3 linked regions of the Elephas maximus indicus genome follow. The protein of the gene in region 1 interacts with the protein of each later gene in a pairwise test. Links are inferred from orthologs where the notes say so. Each region holds a gene or a part of one and is shown on either strand. Other genes may lie near its edges.

Region 1 (8,427 bases):
TGAGGATGGTGTGGGTCCGGGCAGTGTTTTGTTCTGTTGTACATAGGGTCGCTATGAGTCAGAACCAACTAGATGATACCTAACAACAACAACAAGGAGTCAAAGAAGCCCTGTGGTGCAACAGTTAAGTGCTTGGCTGCTCACCAAAAGGTCATCGGTTTGAGCCCACCAGTGGCTCTGAGGGAGAAAAGACCTGGCAACCTGTTCCCATAAAGATTGCAGTGTAGGAAACCCTATGGGGGCAGTTCTACTCTGTCCTGTACGGTTGCTATGAATCAAAATCAACTCAATTGCACACAACAACAATAGGAGTCATTATTTTTATTATGGGATGAATCTATGGAAATGCACAAAATTTTGGTCTATTGATAGGTATTGCTGGGTTTGCTGGGGAGTACCTGATGGCGCTGCTCCTGGAACCTCTGCTTCCTGTCCTAGCACTCCAGTTTCACTCCTAGTTACATTAGGAAAGGGAAGGGAAGGGAGGGGTAAAGTTCATTTCCTCCTCATAAGTCTGTAAGGTCTTCTTCCCTCAGGTGGAACTGGGTTGAAGGACATTGTCATAGTTAGCTAGTGTGGCTAGAACATAGATACTGCAAATAGGTGGCTTTGAAGAACAAAAATTTATTTTCTCACAGTTCCAGAGGCTAAAAAGTCCAAATCAGGGTCTAGGTAATATCTGTTTCCACCTTGTAGGTAGGATTACGTCCACAGGAATAAAGGTTAGAATTCCAACACCTTATTTGGAGTGGGACATAATTCAGTCTATAAGAGGCATAAATATGATGGAAGCTCACCTGCATTGCGTTTGGGAGGGGCCAAGACTTGGACATCTCCTTTCGTTTCACCTCAGTTTGTTTCAGAATTAATAAATGGTAAGGAGGATTTTTCTGAAATCTTCAGTTCATAAAATTAGGCTCACACAATTTTCAAAAAGCACTTGTCTGTCTTTTTCTGAATATCGTCCAGAGGACGGGCTCCATGATATTCCTAGGGAAGTGGCAAACATCTGATGTGCATACTCCCTGTTTTATTTTAAATTCATTCCCTTTGAGCTATCCTTCTGTGGATGAGAAAACCTGCATTGTCCAATATTCCTTCATGAGCACTGTTCATTTTCTAAAAATTCAGAATTATCGCCTTCACCAGTTTTAAAACCCATTCCTGAAAGGAAGAAATAGGTGGGAAGCAGATCCCTTTTGGGCTATAACCATCCACAGAGGCAGTTAGCATGAGGGTTAGGCACCCAGACTGTGGGGTCAGAAGTCAGGCTTCACCATTCTCAAACTTAATGACCCTGGACAATCTAATTACTTTTTCTAAGCCTCAGTTTCCTTATCTATGAAATGGATTTAAGAATCTAATCTCTTATAGGGGTAATGTGAGAATTAAATGAGATAATGTACTAAAGCACCTAGCTGGGGCCTGACACTTAGGAAGGACTCAGTAAATATGAGCCAGCCTATCATTATTACCTATATTTGCTCTGTTATCTGTACAGTTTCCAGGACTATGCCATGAGCTGGGAGGCATCATGGAAGGCAAAGCTGAGTTAAGATAATCGGGGGACCTGGACTGTGGCTCCTGGCTCAGCTACTAATTTGTGTAATATTTGTTCCTTATTTAAGAATATACTTTTTGTAAGTTAGGAAGCATAATGATGAAAAAAAAAATCACCCATGAACAAAGCTATTATCTTTGTTGAAGCTGCTCCGAGTTCCTCCCCTGCCCATTCCCTGGCCTTTCCTTAGATGTGACTACCACTTGGAATTATGCTTATCATTTCACTCTTTTTGAAAGGAATGTATGTACATTTCCCTAAGTGATATAGTGCTTAATTTTGCTGAGTTTTGAGCTTTATAAAACGATATCACAGTGTATGAGGACTTCTACATTTCCACCCTTAATTCTAGGATTGATTTATTTATGTGGTTGAGGGTAGCCTTAGTTTATTCATTTTCACTGACAAAATTGAGTTCAGTATTCAACTGAAATTCAATATTCTACTCCATTCCAATTTATCCATTCTCATGTTGGTGGGCATTTGTTTTGTTTTGCTACTACAAGTAGTGTTGCCATGAATATTCTCACACAAGTCTTTTGGTGTGAATGTGAAAGAATTTTGATAGGGAAGTGGAGTAGAGTTGCTGAGTTATAATTTCAGGACATTTTCTAAAGCGGTTGTAATCCTCTTGATTTTAACCACTCTTGTCCTGAGTCTCTTTCCTCATATTAAAAACATAACAAACAAAATAAAAACTTCTATGAGGATTAAATGAGGCAATATATATTGTTGTTGTTGTTAGTTGCCGTCCAGTTGGCTCCAACCCACAGCAACTCCGTATGTGCAGAGTAGAACTGCACTCCATAGGTCTTTCAGGGCTGTGACCTTTCAGAAGCAGATCACAAGGCCTGTCTTCCTAGGTGTCTCTGGGTGGGTTCAAAGCACCAACCTTTTAGCCAGTAGTTGAGACTTAACTATCTGAACCACCTGGCTGCTGTGTAATATGTAGTAGAGTGCTATTAAAACTATTATATCATAGTAATATAATGTTATTAAAATAGCATTAACAATACATAACAATAGAGTCCCAATCTGAACAGGGAAGTGGAAGTGGGCTAGTGGGAAAATGGAGTTAATATTTATAATTACTACACATATGGCATTTTGGCACCTTGTTTAAGCCTCACAACAATTTCAGGAGGAGGTCCCCGGGTGGTGTAAATGGTTTGCTATCAGCTGCTAATGTAAAAATTGGCAGTTCTAATCCATTCAGTGGTGCTGTGGAAGAAAGGCCTGGCGATCTGCTTCTGTAAAAATTACAGAAAATTCTATGGAGCAGTTCTGCTCTGTAACACACGGGGTTGCTACAAGTTGGAATTGACTCCATGGTAACAGATTTGTTTTTGTTTGTTTATTATTTTTACTAGTGGATGGATTAAAATACTAAGACTCAGAAAGGTAAAGTCCCTTACCCAAGATCATGCAGCTAGTGTTGGAGCTGGTGTTCAAACAAGGCATGTTTTGGCCTAATAGGTGTTTGAAAATATACTGGATATAATGCTGGTCTACAAAGGATTTTGAGCCTTCAAATCTCCATGTGTGACATCTCTTTATCTCCGAACCCCAGACCATTCTTTACCCCAGGTACATGTTTTTAGGTAAAACTGGCTCAAGGGAAGAAAAAAATGGCTTGAGGAGATATTAGGTACCAGGAATTTACCAAGAGGAGGATTCATGGGTTTACCAAAATACAAAAGAAAAAAAAGAAAACCCAAAAAACAAAAAACCAAACCCCTTGCAGTTGAGTGGATTCTGACTCTTAGTGATCCTACAGGACAGAGTAGAACTTCCCCCTAGAGTTTCCAAGGAGTGTCTGGTGGATTTGGACTGCTGGCATTTTGGCTAGCAGCTGTAGCACTTAACTACTACACCAAGAGAAAAACCAAATCGAGTCAATTCCGACCCATAGCCATCCTATAGGACAGAGGAGAACTGCCCCATACTTTCCAAGGAGTGCCTGGTGGATTCAAACTGCCAACATTTTGGCTAGCAGTGGTAGACCCTAACCACTATACCACTGGGGTTTCCACAACAAGATAAACCCACTAAACCAAACCCACTGGCGTTGATTCTGACTCATAGCGACCCTATAGGACAGAGTAGAACTGCCCCATAGAGTTTCCAAGGAGCGCCTGGCAGATTCGAACTGCCACACTTTTGGTTAGCAGCCGTAGAACTTAACCACCACACCACCACAGTTCCCATACCAAGATAAATAAAAAAAAAAGATGGGTTTAAATCCAGGACCCTAAAACAGCACTGGAAGCCGAGTTAGAATCGACTTGACCCTAACAGGTAGGTAAAAGAGAGCTAGTAATGCATGGCTAGAAATGGGGGCATGCTGTCAGGGACTTCACGTCGACATTGTCTTTCTTTTTCCTCATTCTTACTCTTTTTTTCTTTCCTTTTTTAATTCAAGAAGCATCTTTTTGAAAGTCCTATTGAATGCAGGAATTATACGAGGAGATATTTAGAATACAAACTTGAAAAAAACCTAGTCCCTACTCTTTAGGAGTTCACAGAGAGAGGCAGATACATACAAAATTATAATTCAAGGCAGACTGTAAAAAAATCAGTAATACAATAAAGAACCAATACTTTCACATACAGGCAATGTGTTGTATGAAAAATGCCAGGCTTTGGATCAGTTCTGAAGTCAGCTCTGACGTTGGCTCTGCCAATTTCACCTTGCGTCCTTATTGGTAAAGTGAGGGCCATAACATTTACCTTTAGAATTATAATTCTAAGGTTGTCTTGGAGATTACTGATAACGTAATAAAGTTACTGGCATGCAGGTGACGCTCAATAAACAATGGCATTATTTAATTCTCAAAGAAGGAAGGTATGGTTATATCTACTTTACAAATGAGAAAGCTAAATCTCAGCAAGATTAAGCGGTTTATCTGAAGTCACCAAACTAGTAAATGAAGGTAACAGCCCAAACCTGGTTTTTGGAACTTTTAAATCTCAAACCATACCCCCCCCCCTTTTTTTTTAATCACAATACTTTCACTCATTTCATGCTTTCCTGTTTTTCAAATGCATTAGGGGGAATGGCGGGAGATAAAATGAATATCCAGAGAAGCCGGATTGAAACTGGGTCTTAATCTCCGGAAAGATTAGTTTAAGGAATGAGCGCATTCAAGATAGGAGGATGAGCAGGGGGAAAGGCGCGCAGCTAGCGAACGTCTGTGAAACCGCCAAGAGCCCGCCAGAGGTGGGAGCGGGTTCAGTAAGACTGCCCTAGGGCCTTAGAGCGGCGAGTAGGTACGCAGCGGATGCCAAGAACTCAAATAGCCACACAAGAGGACAGAGGGACGTTTAAACCGCGACACGCTGAACATGCACCGGTTCCCCCTCGAGAACGACCAGTCCTGCCTCCAGGGGCGGAAGCCGTGGCGTGGCTAGCCTATCAACACTCCGGAGGCCGACAAAATCTCTTCTTCATTGGTGAGCGATAGGGTCACGTCATGTTCGCCGGGTCGGCGAAGGAAGAGGGCGCCATGATTGGTTGGCGCCGGGGCGGTGGAGGGGCCTGGCGAGTCTGGGTTTCAAGCTGGTGCTTGGACTTTCCCCTTCCATGTTTCGAGACAGTGGGGCGCTGCAGAGGGTGGGGAGCCGGCTCTAAGGAAACCTGGATTTGATTCTAAGGGCCGTACTGTTTAGAAGGGGTGACCGGAAGTGATATTGGGACTGACCGGAAGCGAGGCCTGGAGGGGAAAGGAGAGTGGGTCCCGAGAGGGAGGGGGCTGCTCGTAGTAGTGGGCGGGGGAAAAGGTGCGAAAGCGGCGTGGGAGCGCCAGACTGACTGCCAGTCGGTGCTGTTGGCCTGTCTGGAAACCAGCGAGTGACCACCACGAGCTCAAAGAGGGCAGTCCAAGGAGTGGGAGTGCGGGAGTCGAGGGCTGCCCCTGGCCAGTCGGGAGTAGTTGAGCAGAGGGGGCCTCGCGCTCCAGAGAGCTGGTCGGGAGGGTTTCGGAAGCCGGGGCAGCTAAGAGCGAGGAGGAGTCAAGGGTTCGGGAGATTAGTTGTGCGAGGAGTGCCTGTGGGGCTTGGGGGTGGCTGGTGGGCACTGCTTGGGAGATCTTGGTTTGGAGTTCTCTACAGTCTTCCCCTGTTGGGTAGAATCACGCTCCGCGCCTTTGTACAAGCAACGGTGTCTCCTGGGGCAAGGAAGGAGCCGGGATGGCCTGGGCTCTGAAGCTGCCTCTGGCGGATGAAGTGATTGAATCCGGGCTGGTGCAGGACTTTGATGCTAGTCTTTCCGGGATCGGCCAGGAACTGGGTGCTGGTGCCTATAGCATGAGGTGAGTGAGATTTTTCCCAGGCCCTGTACCTACGGAATAACAAAGGAAGCATAGAGAATAAGGGGGTGGGGGTGGGAGGTGTATGGAGTTAATGAAGGTGTCTGTGGTTGGAGAAAGGGACTTGTTTCTTTTGTTGCTTTGGATAGTGAGTGTGTGGTAGAAATGGAACAAGAGATTGTAGGAATGTCAAGACTGCCGAGTCAGTGGAAGAAGGAAGAATGACTCTTAATTAGCAACCGGATGAACGTTGAGAGGCTGTTGTGCCAGTGTGGGAGACTTGGAGACTAATGATGTATGTGTAGGTGTGGATAGGTTCGTCTGGACTTGTACAAAGGTGGGACCCCGTAGAACATGAGGCATGTTTTGGGAGTTGGGGCTTAATAATGAATATTGGTTGACTGTTGGAAGTAAATGTGAGACCTTGGTGAAGAAGTCCGCACATCTGTATCTTAGCCCTGGACTGCTTTAAGGCTTTTAGTTAATTCTAGGGTTTCTGAAAGGAGCCCTGGTGGTGCAGTGCTTAAGTGCTCCTCTACTAACCGAAAGGTCGGTGGTTCAAACCCACCAGCAGCCCCGCCGGAGAAAAGACCTGGTGATCTTCCCTGGTAAAGACTACAGCCTAGGAAACCCAGTGGGGCAGTTCTCCTCTGTCACATTGGGTTGCACTGAGTCAGAATCATCTTGGCACACAACAACAGGGTTTCTGACTCTTGAAACAGAAGCTGTGCAATGAAAAGGTGGCAAAAAGAGCTTTTAGATGTTTTTAGACCTTCATGTATCAAGTCATATGTTGATGGTAAATAAAAATCTCCTTTGAAAGCAGCAATACTTCCCATATAACATGTTTACATGCATTGGCCACCTCATTCCCCACTATAGTATGTTTCATTTACATATGTGCAAGAATCACACCTGGAAATGTTGAAACAGCCACATCTTAGTGTTACCAAACAAAAACCAAATCCGTTGCCCTTGAGTCGATTCCAACTCATGTGACCCTATAGGACGGAGTAGAACTGCCCCATAGGGTTTCCAAGGAGCGCCTGGTGGATTCGAACCGCCGATTTTTATGGTTAGCAGCTGTAGCTCTTAACCACTATGCCACCAGGGTTTCCATCTTAGAGTTAGATGGAATGTAATCTAAATAAATGAGTCAAAAATAGATCTTAGAACTTCACACTTTCATTGGGTTTATGAGTTTATAGGGAAAGATGCGTCTTATGGGGAAAGTGGACAAATTTTGCATTCCACTAGATCTTTTGAGAAGTAAAGTCGCTTTCCTTACTGAAGTAAATTATGAGTTTGAACTTAATACTTCAGCATCTTCAAGAATCATTGCTTATAGTTAGAATAATGTGTAACTATTTTAGTGATTTTTTTTTCAGGGAAATTTGAGTTCTGTCATGCAATGTTTAAAGTCATGAGAAATTTAACTTTAGTTTTGCCTGTCCTTGAGCTTTGCATGTCAGTACCTGACATAATGTTTGACAGTTTATGCTGTTGTTCATGCAAAGATTACCACAGGAAAAAGTTTGGTTTTGTCCGGGTTATCAGTTTAGAATGGAAATGATGAACTATAACTGTACTTGTTATAGAAAATAGTTAATATTTTTAACAAACATTTGTGCATCTACTGTGTGCACTACTATGTAGTACTGCTGTGCCTCTACTATGTAGTGCACTACTACCATGTACACTGCCATGTGACCTTACATTTAAGAGTGCTTTCATACCTCATACCCTCTGTGGTCCTCAGAGGTATTCATACAATGACTTGCACGTTTACACACGGGAGAATTTTTTTTCCAACATCAAATCCACAATAGTTTTTTTTTTCATTCCAGGTATTTTATTGTGTATTAGGTGAAAGTCTACACAGCAAATTAGATTCCCGTTTATCAATTTTTATACAGATTGTTCAGTGTCATTGGTTACAGTTTCCACAGTGTGTGAGCATTCTCATTATTTCCATTCCATTTGTTCTGTTTTCGTTAATCTAGCTTCCCTTCCCCACCTTGCCTTTTCATGTTTGCTATTGGGTAAATGTTGACCATTTGGTCTCATAATTCATTGCTTAAGGGAGCATATTACTGATGGGTGATATTACATATTTTATAAGCCAATCTATTATTTGGCTGAAAGGTGACCTTCCAAGTTCAAAGGGTATTTAGGGTGATATTCTTGGGGGTTCATCTAGTCTCTGTCGGTCCAGTACCACCACCACCCATTGCTATCAAGTCGATTCCGACTCATAGTGACCCTATAGGACAGAGTAGAACTGCCCCATGGAGCGTCTGGTGGATTTGAACTGCTGACCTTTTGGTTTGCGCTTAATCACTACACCACCAGGGTTTCCTATTGGTCTAGTAGGTCTGGCCTTTTTAGGAATATGAATTTTATTCTGCATTTTTCTCCCATTCTATCCAGGATTTTCTCTTGTGTCCCTGATCAGAACATTAGTAGTAGCCAGGCATAATCTAGCTCTTCTGGTTTCAGGTTAGAAGACTCCGTGGTTCGTGTGGGCTGTTAGTGCTGTGGACTGGTTTCTTCTTTGAG
Region 2 (8,576 bases), on another chromosome or scaffold:
ATGTCAATAGGAGACTGGTTATTTCCATTGGCGATGGGGTACAGCTTGGCCCATTGCTCAGGACCTATCAGGACAAATGTGTGATTATTATCAAAAATTTATTAAGTGCTTGATTCCAAGTTTTAGGCATACAGCTACCTGTTTGCTGGACTGTGACATTCTGTTTAGCTTAATGGGCATTCAATGTTGAAGATGCCCCTTTTCTATACTATACTATAAAGCAGTATATTTGTCAACACTAGTAATACAGGCTCATACTCATAGCCTATAGGTTAAGACTATAAATATTTTATTATTAGCAATAGATTTCTAATAGTAAAATCTATCTATTGAAGGTACATGAAGGAATTTTGCTTTTGGAAAATATATTTTGTAGACAACCATACCAAAGAACAGCTGCTAAGAATACATGTAAAGATATTACAATTATTCAAAACAAATAATTCAAACTATTAACCTATGACTACAGAGCTATTTTGAACGCTTAATACCTCTGCTACTGAAAAGAGAATAAGCTATTATCTCTGATCTATCTGAGCAGAGCTCTTACCATTTTTGACATCATATCCCCAGTCAGCACTTGCCATGGTCTTGCAGTTAGTTTTCTTTTTCTGAAACAAAGATAACACCTGTAATTACTGACGGTGACCGTGCATGCAGTAGACACCACCACTTGGGGTTTTTATAGAAGTTCCCTGTCCTTTAATATGCTACTATTTCACCATCTCAGCCTATAAGGAAATGTGTATATGTAAAAAGAGATGTTGTAAAAAAAAGTTCACAAGGGTCATGTCAGTTTCATTTTTTTTTTTTTTTATATTGTAAAACAGAAATAGCGAAATCTTAGTTTTTATAAAACCAAGCCCTGTCTCTCTCATGGTATTAGAATATGCGGCTGAAAACTATCACACGCCATTCTTTGGATTTTCTAAATTACCCATGACTTTGTGCACTTGCTGTTTCCAATTCTGCCCTTGCTGGATACTTTTAAGCAATATTACCAATAAAACGAAACCCACTGCAGTTGAGTCGATTCTGACTCATAACGACCCCATAGGACAGAGTAGAACTGCCCCATAGTGTTTCCAAGGAGCAGCTCTTAACCACTATGCCACCAGGCCTCCTAAGCAATATTAAAACAACAGTTAATTAATAAGAAAAATTTGCATGTTTATAGACTGATCTGAACTAGCATCACGACATTAATTTAACATCAGATAAAAAAGTTACTGATGGTTTGTAATACGTATAATTCAGAATGGTGCGTTTCATAAACACACTCAGGATGAGAACAAAGTCCATTTTGGAGTAATAATGGAATTCATACAAAAATTAATTAATATTTAAATTCAGGCCCAATGTTTATTTTACACATTGAATGGGTCTATTAGTGCAATGGTTCAGTGCTTGCTTGCTAACTGAAAGGTCAGCTGTTTGAACCACTCAGTTGCTCTGAGGGAGAAGGACCTGGCAATATGCTTCTGTAAAGATTACAGCCTAGAAAAGCTGTGGGCAGTTTTACTCTGTCCCATGGGGTCACTATGAGTTGAAAACCAACTTGACGGCACTTAACATAAACAACAATACAATCTATAAAGAATTTTCATATTATTTTACCACCACAAAAAAAAACCTTTAAAGTAAGAATTATCATTTTGTAGTTGACAGATATTGAGAGACTTCACCACAACTATCAAAAAACCAAGAAGCCAAGACTTCGGCCTCCAAGTTCATTTTCTTTCTTCACTATACCTCCAGCAGATGTGACACTGGGTGAGCTATGAGACGGATGATCCCTAAATCTCCTTCTATGCCCACAATTTTCTTAAGTCACATTTAAGTCCACACCAGGGTGAGAACTGCCACTTGTTGAGTGATGAGAAGGTCTACAGGGCTTTTCAGGGAGTCAAAGAAAAATGATTAGAATGTGCCCACATTCTTGAGGCTCTAAGTGTACTCAAAGGAAATGCAACCAGAAAAATAAACTTCCATAGTAATCCTTTTTTCATGCTAGAAAAAGACATATCTCCATTCGCACTGTAGAATCATGAGCTGCCTGGCTCCCCGAGGGAAGAGTGGGATGAGAAGCAATTTTTAGCAGTGCTCACCAAGGACATGTTTATTTCTTTGTAGATCAGAATAGCCTGCTGCTTCATATGCAGACTGAACTATGGCTCATGGACATTCACAGAGCGAGAAGAGGTTTTGTTGGTAGAAGGAAAAATCTTTTAAAAGAGCTTTATCTTTTAAGGTAACATTTATTAAGCGACCAATATGTATCAAATGCCATGCTAAAAACTTTACATGCAGTATTTCACTTATTCTCACAAAAGCGTTCCCATGGAAGCTGATTTTTTTATTTTAACATTAAAATCTGTTTTACATCCAAAGAAATTGAGGCCTACAGAGGTGAAGACACCTCCTCAGAGTTACAGAGCTTGGAAGTGGCTGTTTACAGTCCATAAATCTAGGGCTTAACAGTAAGTCTAACTACAAAGCTTCTTTTCTTTCTTAACCTTTACAGACAGACCCTTCCACTGTCAAAAAAATGTCCTTTGGCCTCCTTTTGATTCTATTTTCTGGAAGACTTGCTTAGTTGATCTGGACTGGTCTGGCTCAACAGTCAAGATTAATTCATCCAGACTTATGACCTCAGGCTTCACCAGAAGCTCATGGAACAACAGTACAGGCTACTCTTGGCCAGGTAATTTGTCTCTTGAACCTAAATTCTTTGTCAGAAACCACTGTAATCACTATATTGACCAATATATTTGAAAAAAGACAACCCCTTTTTCATTACAGGATAATTCAGCACGTAAATGTTTTAACATTCATAAAAAAAAAATATGAGATGGTAATTCACTTGAAGTTTTAGGTACACAATTACTTTAAACCCTTACCATTACGACCCTTTACTCCATTATCTACCCAGGGTGTGTTTGTGTACTCGGACAAGCAGAAAACTATATAGAGAAAGGAAGTAGAATTTAATGAGTATCTATGATTTAGGCTCTGACACCTTGTTTTATCATCATATGATATTAGGCGTGATTATAGGGTCTCTAAATGGTAGGGCACAACACAAAGACACTTGGATAGATGAAAAGCAGAAATCTTTGTTACTTACAGCTCCAAATGAGAGAAGGCAGTCAGCAGTGCCAAACAGGCTCAGTAAACTGGAGACGTTGGAGATGGCTTAAGTATGGAAAGCAAAGTGGGGTTAGCTAGGTAGGCAGGCTCCCAGTGAATTGGCGAATTTGAATAATTTTGTGAGCTCTGGGGCATAAAAACGGTTCCCAGTCATTTGATATCTGGCCCCAGGGTGATTAGGGTGGGTACGTAGTGGCCCCAGAGTGTTAGAGCCTGATAGAGGAAGTAGTTGAGGTGTAGACTTAATCAGTTGCTGTAGAAGAACTGATTGGCCTCTAGCCAGGGCCTCAAAGTTAGGTTGAGCCAGCACTAAAAACAAAACAAAAACTAGGTTACAATTGACTCCTTGATTTCTTGACAACAGCTTCAAGTTCAATTATTTGTGGTATTTGAGTGGCCTGAATAGTAGGGGAGTAGGGCATAGTTGCTCTAAACAGCATAGAAATCGTTAGATTATGACAGTAAAAATAAAGAACCCAAGTAAAAGCCTGAGAAATCCCTGAAGACTGGCTTATAGCCACGTTCCCCATTTGGTGTTATCAAAGAGAATAAATTAGTTATGGCAGGATACTCTAGAAATACTTTGGTTGAATTGTGGAGTGTGATAAAGGTGTAGGTTCAGTTTTTGTGATGATGATTTTGTGGTCCAAGCTGTGTGTTGGAGTGGCCACTTGACCAATGTTGTTACCTGCGAACAAAACAAAGTACTAATAATGCTACAAATGCCTCCTTGATTACCTAATAAAGAATTAAGAGCCAATGTATCACCAAAAACCATTTTTGTGAGGGTTCTATGGCCTTGATTAAGCAGGTCTAATATTTGTTGTACTTTAAGAAATGTGAGATACTAGATATTTGGACATTCATAGGTTAGTGTCAATGATTTTGATTGTTGAGTTAGAGTGATGGTCCCTGTAACTGTCTTAGCAAGTCCCAAAGTGGTAGAAAGTTCCATATTATAGATATGACAGGGACATGTCAATGATATTTGGCTGGAGTGGGGTAAGAATGATTAATCTTTACATAAACGGGAAGGCCAAGAGAGGCTGGAACTAATCAATGCGGTTTGTGGCTTAGGGGTACTGGAAGAGCAAATTAGAGGGGATGAGAACCCTTGTCTACTGGACCACAATATAATCTGGTGGTGTTATTTTTAGATTGAAAAACTGGGAATTACTAAAGAACGGGACTGAAGGTAGACAGTTGATTTTGCTGGGCATATAGTAAGGGTTTAGAGTCATCCATTAGGTAGCTCATATGTGCTGTGTATTGAGGAAACATAAGAACAATTACCATTTGCCATAGGGAGTGCCCGAGATACAAGGGAAGTAGCAGTTTGGAGGAGGTTTTAATTTCCCAATATTTTCCATCTCTGGGCCAGGTATCAGCTGGATAAATGTTTGGTGTGGTATATTTGGAAGCAGACTAATGGCAAATTCAAACAGACAATCAGTGCATGAGAAGCTAGTTCAGTTGGTTCAGTTAAAAGAATATATATGTATGTTGGATGCCTGTGTACATATTCAAAGAGCTTTGTTGATGAGTTTGAATTTCATTTGCTATGTGGTCTTTTGGAGGATGAAAGGGGTAGTCACTGAAAGGATAGAAGAGACTAAGGTGGGGCTGTGGATGCTGAATAATGAGGAAGATGGAGGGAAAAAAATATGAAGGGAAATGAATGATTTGAGCATTGGGAGGCCAGCAGAATTCTCCTCTTATATCTAGGAGAGCACATAGCATGAATACCTTGGTAAGGTCAGCCTTTACGCTGGAGGGAAAAACAAAACCAGTTGCTACTGAGTCAATTCTGACTCATGGCAACCTCATGTGTTTCAGAGTAGAACTGTGTTCCAAAGAGTTTTCGATGGCTGCGATTACCAAGCCTTTCTTCCGAGGTGCCTCTGGGTAAATAAGAACTGCTAACCTTTAGGCTACTAGCTGAGCACTTAACTTTTTGTGTCACCTAGGCAGGAGAGGTGAGTCATATTAGAGGGAATTTTAATCTTGGAGGCATTGGACTTGGCCCAATAAGGGCTTAACATGGTACAAAGTAAAATTATAATCATGGTGAGGAGGGCGGGAGGACTTACAGTTTTATCAGTACTCACTCAAGGTGATGTGGGTCATATTTTTGAGGTTCTATGGTATTTTAACAGGGAGGAGCCACTTGTAGAATTTGAAGACAATGTTGGATCCAGGAGCTTGATTTGCATATATGTTTTCTGGGTGCATAGCTAGCAAAAGTGATGGTGGCATTCACGATACTGCCATGATTGAACATAATCACTGGAAACTGCCTGGCACAATTAAAGCCTCAATTAAGGTGGCCAAATCTAAAAGCTCCCAGCAGTCCAAGGTTTTGCCCAGATGGATGATGATAGGGGATTCTGCTGCAAATAGGTTTTTAAATCACATGGCTTAATTTGGGTGCATGTTAATAGGATATTAGGTTGCTTGCCAATTAAAATATCTGTGACAGGTTGGAGCTCCATTGTTAGCCTGTAGGCAGGCCCTCCAATTTAGCCAATTATTATCACTCCTTTGCTTCAGTTGTCTGGTGAGGTCTTTGGATTGCAGGACTTGCATTAGCCGAAGTTGATGGCATGTGAGCCTCAGCATTTGCCATGTTTGACTTTAACAATGGCTTATGTGGAGGGTTGAGCCTCCAGATTACAATCAATGAAAGCACCAGAGGAATAGTAACAAGACCAAGAGAGAAAGGTATGAAACTTCATCTTAAACGCTTTTTGTTGTTTGATGCTTCTTTCCCTCTGGCATGAGTTATCACCAAGGAGGAATTGTCTGGTTTCATCATGGTGGATTAGGGCGTTGGTTCCATCATTATTTTCTAGTGGAATTTTCATTTACTCTGTGGAGTTGCTTATCTTCCTTCTTGGTGGTCTATGGAAAGGGTCCTGGAGCAATAATTTTAATTTCCTGTAGGGGATCAGAGGGGGAGGCTGGATCAATCACGCATCCCTTATAACCTAAATAGTGTGGAATGTTTCTAGGTGTTGGAAATTTAGGTTTGAATGGGTCACAAATGTGCAGGTGCCCTGTCAATCTACTGTTAATGGTCCCAGGTGTGTATGAGCCCTCCATTTGGCCTGGGATGGGGTCGAGATTGAAAATCCATGTTCTTGGGAGGAGATATTAGTGAAAGATTTCCAGTCTAGAGAATCCTCATAAAGATGAAGATGAGATCTATCATTGTTAGCTGCCATCAAGTTGGCCCCCCCTCCCACCCACCACACACTCATGGTGACTCCATGCACGATGGGATCGGACTATTATGATCCACAGAGCTTTCATAGGCTTATTTTTCAGAAGTAGATTTCAAGGGCTTTCTTCTTGGTCTTAGTCTGGAAGCTCCACTGAAACCTGATCAGCATCATAGCAACATGAAAGCTTCCACTGACACACGGGTGGTGGCTGTGCTTGAGGTTCACTGGCTGAGACTCTAACTTGGGTCTCCTGCATGGAAGTTGAGAATTCTACCACTGGACCACCACTGCCCCCCAAACTGTGATATTTCCCTTTTAAATATAGAAAATGGCAATGGGAAGGCTTGTAAAAATTAGTATGTGGTATAAGCCTATCCAAAAATCTAGAATTAAGAGAAATTAGGCCTCAGGGCAAAAATGAGGCCCAATTATAAGTCTACTTGCTAGACTGGAGTTTAGAAAGCAGTTGTTTTTTTGATACTGTTACGTCTCTCAGTTAAACTGGCTCTGTTACTGCAATTTCACGAGTTAGAGCCACCTGCCGCAAAGTTCTTGAGACGGGGTGAGGTGGGTAGCAAGAGCTTTATCATATATACCAGTAAATGGAGACAGAGGGGAATGATCTCCTAAAGCTGTCTGTCTCGAGAAACTGCAGTCCATCTTGGTGGGGTTTTATAGGGAAAAGGGGACATGGGTTTGAGGAACTTGAGGAATGTCCATTCTCTTTCTGTGTCGTTAGGGTGATTACATCTCAAACATCTGGATCTTTCCCTGCCATTATCCCATCAGCCCAGGGGCTGACTGGCGCCATCCTGATGAGCATCATCCTGTTTGACAGACTTAGATATCGCTTGTTTTCCCATCGTCCTAGGGGAAACACTGGTTAACATTTAACTTTTAGAGGAGCTAACAGCAAAATCACACTTGGAGACAGAGACAAGCTACGGAAAGGAAAAATGGCTCAGGTTTCGTTCAAGATATTGCTGAGCAGCCTGTTCTAGCTCCCTGCAGTGATATGCCAGATGACAATTCCATTGAATAACCTGTTCCAAAGCCCATCGTTTTGCTACATATGCTGCAAAATGGGAACTCTGATCTGAATCAGTACTGTCAGGAGTTCTGAAGGGCTAGAATGGTTTTAGTAAGGCGAGTGATTGGCATTTTGGCCACAGCAAGTCCAATAGGAAAGGGCAGTAGAAGGCCAGTGTAGGTATCTGCCATGGTTACAGCATAACATGTGGCCCCTGATGAAGGGGGATTCAGTCCATCAACCTGCCACCAACTATAGGGGACTATTTCCCAGAGGAATATTGCTGTATCTCATGAGTTGCCAATGAGTTTGATTATTGTCATTGGTAGGTGCCGTCAAGTTGGTTCTGACTCATAGCGACCCTGTGTACAACAGCACAAAACACTACTCGGTCTTGCACCATCCTCACAACAATTGCTATGTTTGAGCCATTGTTGCAGCCACTATGTCCATCCATCTCATTGAGGGTCTTCCTCTTTTTTGCTGGCCCCCTGCCAAGCATGATGTCCTTCTCCAGGGACTTGTCCCTCCTGAGAACATGTCCAAAGTATGTGAGATGAAGTCTCGCCATCTTCACCTCTAAGGAGCTGCACTTCTTCCAAGATAGGTTTCTTTGTTCTCCTGGCAGTCCACGGTATACTCGATATTCTTCACCAACACCATAATTCCAAGGCACCAACTCTTCTCCAGGCTTTCTTATTCATTGTTCAGCTTTTACATGCATATGAGCAATTGAAAATACGATGACTTGGGTCAGGCACACCTTAGTCCTCAAGGCGATATCTTCGCTTTTTAACATTTTAAAAGGTCTTTTGCAGCAGATTTTGCCCAATGCAATACATGGTCTGATTTCTTGACTGCTGCTTCCATGGGCATTGACTGTGGATTCAAGCAAAATGAAATCCTTGACAACTTCTATCTTTTCTCCATTTAACATGATTTTACTTATTGCTCCAGTCATGAGGATTTTTGTTTTCTTTATATTAGGGTGTAATCCGTACTGAAGGCTGTAGTCTTTGATCTTCATCAGTAAGTACTTCAAGTTCTCTTTGCTTTCAGCAAGCAAGATTGTGTCATCTGCATATCGCAGGTTGTTGATGAGTCTTCCTCCAATCCTGATGCCACGTTCTTCTTCATATAGTATAGCTTCTTGGATTATTTGTCCAGCATAC
Region 3 (8,308 bases), on another chromosome or scaffold:
AAATGTTTTCTTGCGATTAGAGTTCTGAATATCTGGGTTCTACCACAGGTACATGAATTCTTTAAAAAAAAAAAAAAAACCATAAATAGCTTTAAAACATCTACTACCATAAACATTACACACAGTTTACATGAAAAAAATCACAGATTAAAAAGTGTGCACAAATCACAAACGGTCGCCCAATTTTGATCCTTCAAAGAGCCCTGGTGGTGCAGTAGCTAAGCTTTTGACTGCTAACCAGAAGTCGGCAGTTCAAACCTACCTGGGAAACCCAACGGGGCTGCTCTACTCTGTCCTATAGGGTCGCTATGAGTCAGAATCGACTCAACAGCAATAGGTTTGGTTTTTTTCTTTTTTCCTTGAGACCTTCATGCAGATGGATCTTTTGATCTTTCTGATTTGAAACATATAAGGAAAGCTACCCATGTCAAGTAATATCTAACATTAATTCAAAGAAGCAATTTTAAAATAAATTCTACTTACGGCTGCACGTCGGACATACACAGGATGAGAAAGGTGTACATTGTTAAGAAGAAATAAGATAGAATCCAACGTGTAATACTCTCTGGGTTGGCCTTCCTTTCCAGTCCTAAAATCATTAAGGCAAGATTTTTACCAACAATTCTAATTCAACAATTTGAGCTTAATTTAAGGTACTCATTTATTTATACCCACTTTGCTGCTTAACAATGGATTTAAAATAGCTATCCAAAACACACTAAAGTATATAAATTGACTACTAAGTCAAACTGTTTTTAGGACAAAAAGAACACAAAGGAAAACGAGGAGAAAAAGCAAGAAAAAAGGAAAGCACGCAAAATTCACGCTCTTTGGTACTATAAACTTTTTAGAATTAGGCTCAGAACTTTGTCAATAGCAAGAGAAACCTAACCAGTTACAGATAAGGGAGAACTTATATGAGAAACAACGAAATTGTTAAGGAGAAGCACAGCTATGATTGGTGCTACAACTTAAGACAATTTTATCTTACGGCTCTTCCTAAAGTAGATACTGCTGAACAACATCCTCAACAATTCTTACAGTAACCGACAATGAATTTTAGAGGTACGCTTCTTACGACACCCCTCAGATTAGACCAGTGACGTTACCCAAAATGCAGCCGCACCTAGGGATGCAGCCTCTCTAACTCAAGCATATTACTTGCCAAACCAACGTTGGCGTCTGATCCCACTCCTCTTACTTCATTCTCCCACCCAGAAGTGAAATGGTCAGTATATTATTAGAATTCATCTGAATGCAGCCCACTGCAATTAGCCCTGAATCTACTTACCTAGCTTCTATTCCTATTTTTCCTTTAAATCAATGTATTTCAAGCCACACATCGCTATGCTATGAAATCAAATACTGTATGGGTAACTACCAGGCTTTCTTTGTTTTTGGTGATATAGAAAAGAATAGAAAAATAACAATGCACTGCATGCAACAAGAGCTTTAATGTTATATCTATTTACGTAGCTATAAAAATGTTAACGTTTGCACGTATAGATATATATGAATGAAAATATATTTCTTGGTTTGAGTCATTGTTCTGAAAGTTTGAAACCTACTGTTCTAAGCATGCTTTTTTCACTGTTATTGTTATCTGTGAACACATTTACTTTCCAGCTCTCATGCCTCTATACATGCAGTTCTATCATCTTGGAAGACCTAACCCACCGTTTTACTCACAGAATTCCTGCCCGTTCTTTAAAGATTATTCATTTATTCAAGAAAAATGTATTAGAAACCAACATGCCAAACTTACATCTATGAAATTTTTCCTAACATCCACCCGACTGAAGTGACTGCTTTCTTTTTATGAGACAGAAAACACTTCACATCAATTTATGTTATCGTCTCTATTCACATTAAATAAACCTCCTCTGAGGCAGGGATCAAGGTCTTAAGAATTTTTCTATTTCTCACATTGATTATTGAACTGCCCTGCACCCTGGGTATTCCTAAACCACTTTCCTAGAGAAGAAAAAAAATTAAAAATTCAATCATATGTAATCTTGTCCATGCAAATTATTTTGTAAAGATTAAAATAAAAAATTTCTTTAAAACTTCCCACAGTAAACTGAGAATGTCATTTCACTCACATTTCATAAAGCTAAATTAAATCATAAGACCTCGAGATAAAAATAAAAACAAAAGAACCAACCAACAAACAAAATTGCCCTTAACTTCTGGGCAACTCTTCATAAAGCCCACTGCCCCGCTTCACTCTATCTTTCCCTCAGTCAAACAAAGCTGGATATGGAAGTCCTGGTTCAAGGTTCTAACGCCCAAAGGAAGCACCAAAGAAAAGTGGCGTCACTATTTTTTTTAATGATTATTAGACCTGTCTCTGGATGTTTCGCTGAGTGATTTAAATTCAAGAAACCCCACGTGGATCAACGTTCCAAGCCATTTTTCTTTAACTCACACTTCCCAAAACCATGCGCATCTTCAATTTCTTAATTAGACCTATAAAACACTCACTCCATTCCACTACCAACTTTTTCCCTGAGGAAACGCCTGCCTCCGCCTCCAACACAGATTTTGACGACTCTTCCAAATTAATCTAAACCGCTTCCCACCTAAACTTCACAGAGTTGATTCCCTTCTCTCTTAAGGGATAACCCCCCTCTCCAACACGAAAGGGGAAGAAATAAAGCAGGAGCTGCAGGGCCAGGGGAGACAGTCACCACACACGGCAGCATCAAAGAAGAGAAATAAAGAACAAACAGGGACGTCCCCGGCACCAAATGATGTGTTCCTTTGTGCACCTACGCTCAGGTGTACTTGTGCACCAGCCCTACACATTACGGGTACTCGATACATACCTACAAAAATGAACGAGAAAAGTCACCTTCTTCTATGGCTTCCCCAATTCTAAAGAGGTGGGTCGCTCCAGACACAGCGTCTCAGCCCAAAGTGCAACTTCTGCTCCGGACAGAAACTTTTCGCCCGAGCACCCTGTTCGTCCCCGTCCCCAGGGGAAACGGGAGGAGGGCTCAGCAAAGAGGTCACTTGGGGGCGCCCAACTCTTCCCTGCCGCCCGGCCACGGCCATACCGCACTTACCCCCACACCACATAGTTGGTCTTGACGTTCTTGGGCCAGGAGAACTCCCCGAAGATCACTTCGTCTCCCTTCACCACGATCTCCTTCTTCTGGATGTTGTACTGTCGCAGGACGCTGAGCACGTCCGCCATCTTCCCCCCCCTCGCCGCCGCCGGACCCGGGCGCCGCCGCCGCCGCCGCGCCTGCCTCCGCCTTCCTCCGTCGGCTCGTCGTCCTCAGCGGCCGCCGCCGACGCTGCCGCGAACAGACAGCGGAGCAACTAGCAGCCGCCCTCGCCTACGACAGCAGCGGGAGCAGTAGCCACCCAGGCCGCCGAGGACCCCGCGCTAGAAGGCAAAGGCCCCGCCGCCGGCTGCCCGCGGAGAACGCCTGACTGCACGCCTCCGGCGCTGCGGGCCGCCGCCAGGGGGAGCCGTGAGCGCCCGGGAAAATGCCCCTCCCAGACTTCCACTCGACACCGAACGCGGAGCGCAGGGACTCTGTGCCCACGTACGGCGCACGTACAAGGAGTATTGCCGGTTACCCGCGCACGCGCGCGAAGCACGTACTTCATCCCCCGCAGCGCGCACTCCACAGGCGACAGGTGCGCGCGCACCTGCGTGGCTGGTGTATCCTTCTCTCCCTGGAGCACTCGCTGAGCCCTGTGCAACCTCTTTGGGGGCGGCCAAAGGCTCTCGCGTCGCTACTTTGCGAGGGTGGAGCTTGGCCAAGGATTTGCAGGAAAAGTAGGATTACCTTCCCATCTAGATATGACCTAGATCTACCAAAAGGCCTCTAAATGTGATCCAGATAAACTCCTTTAGAAGAGTTTTTTTCGGTGGACTGTCTTAGTGGAAAAGACCGAGTACGGCAGACCTCAATTCCGGGAACCACTATTTATTAGCTGTTGTTTGAGTTTGGTCAAATTACAAACGTTCTCACAGCAGCACCAATTGGTTTAATGGATAAAATGGGATTAATATACAGATATTAGCTTCAGGGATGTTATGAGGATTGTATGAGAATAAGGTGAAAGTGTCTACTAAATCATCAAAATAACATAAATGTTCTCTTTACACCCTCCATTCCATACATGGAGTCCTGGTGGCACAGTGGTTAAGAGCTATGATTGCTAACCAAAATGCTGGCTGTTCAAATCCACCAACCGCTCCTTGGAAACCCTATGGGCAGTTCTGCTGTGTCCTGTAGGGTAGCTATGAGTCAGAAGGGACTCAACTGCAATGCTTTTTTTAGTTGTTTTAATTCCACACATGACTTTCCCCATTTTGGCCCTTTCCCTCATCCCTATTCCCAATGGGCTACAAGGGCCCTGTTCTGAGATACTAATGGAAAAGTTAAAAACCAGGAACCCGAAACTGTTGTCAGTAGAAGAACACTTTCAGACAACCTGATTTTTGCTGGCACCCAGAAGACTCAATGAGTGTCCTACCAGTGTTGGGAAAGTTGAAATAAATTCAACCTGTGTACTCTAAGCAAAATGTATATCTTGGGTCCCATAATTTTGTTATAATTATTCTTTCTACTAAAGTAAAAGGGGGAAAAAAAGGAAGGTGATTGACACACCCAAATTCCTTCTCCTGATTTGAAAGAAATAAATTTTTGCTATGTGCAATAGGAGATGATATAAAAGTATGTGGTTCATTGCTGTACTATCTGTAGTCATTCTGCAACTGTGAATTTGATACATTTTACCTGTTTTGCACATGTTCTCATGTTCTCACCCCTAGGATGATTTCCTGAATCTCACTCAAAACAAACCCACTCTAACTGACTACTGTCTTATCCCTACACAGCCTACTCTATTCATACTTTGATCAGTGCAGCCAATATTACTTGACTGCCCTTATTAGTTTACTAACCTGTCTTTATCTACAAAACTAAAGGGCTGTAGACCTTTACTGTCATATCCTAATACCTTGCACATTATTTAGCATATAACATGCCCTACTATTATGTCAGTGTGTCATACTGTAGTGGCTTACATGTTGCTGTGATGCTGGAAGCTATGCCATCATATTTCAAATACCAGCAGGATCAGCCTTGATGGACAGCTTTCAGCAGAGCTTCCATATTAAGGCAGACTACAAAGAAGGACCTGGCAATCTATTTCTGAAAAAATTGGCTATGAAAACTTAACAAATAGCAACAGAACATTGTCTGATATATTGCCAGAAGATGAGCTCCTCAGGATGGATGTCACTCAAAATACAACTGGGGAAGAGCTGGCGCCTCAAAATAGAGTTGACCATAGTGACATGGATAGAGTAAAACTTTTGGGACCTTCATTTGCCGATGTAGCACAATTCAAAATTAAGAAGAAAAAGCTGCAAATATCCGTTAATAATGGGAACGTGGAATGTACAAACTATGAGTCCCGGAAAACAGGAAGTCATCAAAAATTAAATGGAACGCATAAAGATCAATATTCTAGGCATTAGTGAGCTGAAAGGGACTGGTAATGGCCATTTTGAATCAGACAATCATATGATCTACTATGCTGAGAATGACAAATTGAAGAGGAATGATGTCACGTTCATCATCAAAAATAACATTTCAAAATCTATCCTGAAGTACAACACTGCCAGTGATAATATCCATAAGCCTATAAGGAAGACAAGTTAATATGACTATTATTCAAATTTATACACCAACCACTAAGGTAAAAGATGAATAAATTCAATATTTTTACCAAAACGGATGTCAGAAGACTCTGAAACTTGCACTTGAACATAGACTACATAAAGCAAATGAAGAAATGACGAACTAAAGGAACTGAAGATTTCAAAAGGCAGCTCGAGAAGACAAAGAATTATAATGAAACATGCAAACACCTGGAGTTATAAAACCAAAAGGGAGTAACACACTTGGTATTTCTCAAGCTGAAAGAACTGAAGAAAAAAAGTCAAGCTTAGAGTTGCAATATTGAGGAACTCAATGGGCAAAATATTGAATAACGCAGGCATCAAAAAGAAGATGGATGATGGGGCCAAGATGGCGGGGTAGTCAGACGCTTCCGGTGATCCCTCTTACAACAAAGACCCAAAAAAACAACTGAAATGATTATATATAGGACAAGCTAGGAGCCCTGAACATCAAAGGCAAAGTTAGGAAATCAGACTGAGTGGCAGGGGAGGGAGAGACAGTTCAGAAGCAGCAAGGAGTTGCCAGACCTGACTCTATGGAAACCAGCAACCCTCAGGCACGATCCACTACAGCAACCGTGGCAGGGCTGGCTGTAGCGTTCCAGATGCTGCTTACTCAGGGAGAGACAGTGCACTGCACAGTCTACTCACACCTCCGGAAGCAGAGAAGAACAGCACTCTTGACAAAAGCTAAGTATTGCGTTTATTTTACCATGAAACCAGCCCTCAAACTGGCTTCAGTGGTTGTCGAGATCCCTAGGCCTGAGATAGGTCTTACTGCACGCCTTAGCCATTCTCCCAGCCATGGAGAAGGAATAAATTAACAATTAGGGGGAAAGATAATCTGCCAGCTCCACTAAGATGGGGGGCTCAGGACAGAAGCAGCTCCTGTCCAGGCACAAAGAGGCTGCAGACTTCGAATAACTTTCACCCCTATGCAGACCCGTGTGGGCCCATTTCAGGAGAATAGGCCTTTGTTGGCAGACTGCAATGGTGTATGTGCTTGAGATCTGGTTTCAACTGTTTCAACTGTGCAGTGGAGGGGAAGGTTTTGGTCTTTGACAGCATTTTGCCTGTGAAACAGGGTCCTCAGCAGCCCACATCAGGGGCTTGAGGATTGGTGGCTCCACCCACATCATCTAGTCACCGCAACAGGGGTCCAAGGATAAGTGGTGCCTCCCAGTCCTTACAACCAAAAGCATTAGGTGCCCATGGTCCAGCTACAAAACCCAGCCACCTGTGTGCTCTAGGGAAGAATCAGTCTTTCCTCACAGATGCTTGGGAGATAGTTGTCAGCCCCATACCTTGTTCAAAGCATGACCCCCTGCTGCAACCAGATACCGGTACCTACACCAATCACCCCTGCCCCTCTAAGACTGTAGGACAGAGTCTGTATCACACACTTGATGACCAACTACCTGGACACCTGAGCTGAACCCATACAAGAAAAGTGAATGGGCTCCTAGGCTCATAAACCTGGTGACAGCTCTAGCCACTGGTCACAGAACGTTAGTGCTTCAAAGGCAAAACTAATCAAGCTAGCTCATTCACATAGCCTATTTTGGCATATCAAAACAAAACAAAGAAGCTAGGATACAGTAAACAAACTTAAAATAAACTGATATAATAGCTTAAAGATGGCTTGGAGACATCAGTCAATAACAAATCACATAAAGAAGCAGACCACGATCACTTCAACAAGCTCTAAAAACAAAGAATCAAGGAATCTTCCAGATAAAGATATCTTTCTGGAACTGCCAGATGTAGAATACAAAAGATTAATATACAGAACTCTTCAAGAAATCAGGAACGAGATCAAGCAAAACGCAGAGCAAGCCAAGGAACACACAGATAAAGAAGCTGAAGAAATTAAAAAGGTTATTCAAGAACATAATGAAAAATGTAATAAGCTCCAAGAATCATAAGATTAACAATAAAATTACAGATATGAGAACTCAATAGAAAGTCAGCAGAGCAGAATTGAGGAAATTGAAGCCAGAAATAGTGAGATTGTAGATAAAACACTTGGCACCTGTGTATTTGAAGAAAAATCAGATAAAAGAATTTTTTAAAAAATGAAGAAACCCTAAGAATCACGTGGGACTCTATCAAGAGACATAACCTATGGGTGACTGGAGTACCAGAACAGGGAGGGATAACAGAAAATACAGAGATAATTTTTGAAGATTTGTTGGCAGAAAACTTCCCTGATATTGTGAAAGATGAGAAGATATGTATTCAAGATGCTCATCAAACCCCACAAAAGGCAGATCTCAAAAGAAAGTCACCAAGACATAATCGAACTTGCCAAAGCCAAAAATAAAAAAGAATTTTAAGAGCAGCTAGGGATAAATGAAAAGTCACCTACAAAGGAGAGTCAATAAGAATAAGCTCAGACTGCTCAGCAGAAACCATGCAGGCAAGAAGGCAATGGGATGACTTATATAAAAAATTGAAGGAAAAAAATTACCAGCCAAGAATCATATCCAGAAAAATTGTCTCTCAAATATGAAGGTGAAATTGGGACATTTCCAGATAAACAGAAGTCTAGGGAATTTGGAAAACCAAAACCAAAAATATAAGAAATACTGAAGGGAG

The links.
Region 2: the proteins of TFCP2 (region 1) and CA1 interact in binary tests that used the Homo sapiens proteins (3 or more experiments, as listed by UniProt). The two-hybrid records come from large-scale screens. The link is inferred for Elephas maximus indicus from reciprocal best matches to the Homo sapiens genes TFCP2 and CA1.
Region 3: the proteins of TFCP2 (region 1) and CDC73 interact in binary tests that used the Homo sapiens proteins (3 or more experiments, as listed by UniProt). The two-hybrid records come from large-scale screens. The link is inferred for Elephas maximus indicus from reciprocal best matches to the Homo sapiens genes TFCP2 and CDC73.

The regions. Positions count from the first base shown.
Region 1 is NC_064822.1:106,577,954-106,586,380, reverse strand, and holds the start of TFCP2 (alpha-globin transcription factor CP2), read left to right. Parts: upstream 1-5,055; 5' UTR 5,056-5,749; coding exon 5,750-5,871; intron 5,872-8,427.
Region 2 is NC_064833.1:56,265,577-56,274,152, reverse strand, and holds the start of CA1 (carbonic anhydrase 1), read right to left. Parts: upstream 3,315-8,576; 5' UTR 3,128-3,314; intron 612-3,127; 5' UTR 588-611; coding exon 551-587; intron 65-550; coding exon 1-64. UniProt on the Homo sapiens protein: Catalyzes the reversible hydration of carbon dioxide. Can hydrate cyanamide to urea.
Region 3 is NC_064842.1:58,646,381-58,654,688, reverse strand, and holds the start of CDC73 (parafibromin), read right to left. Parts: upstream 3,444-8,308; 5' UTR 3,200-3,443; coding exon 3,069-3,199; intron 590-3,068; coding exon 484-589; intron 1-483.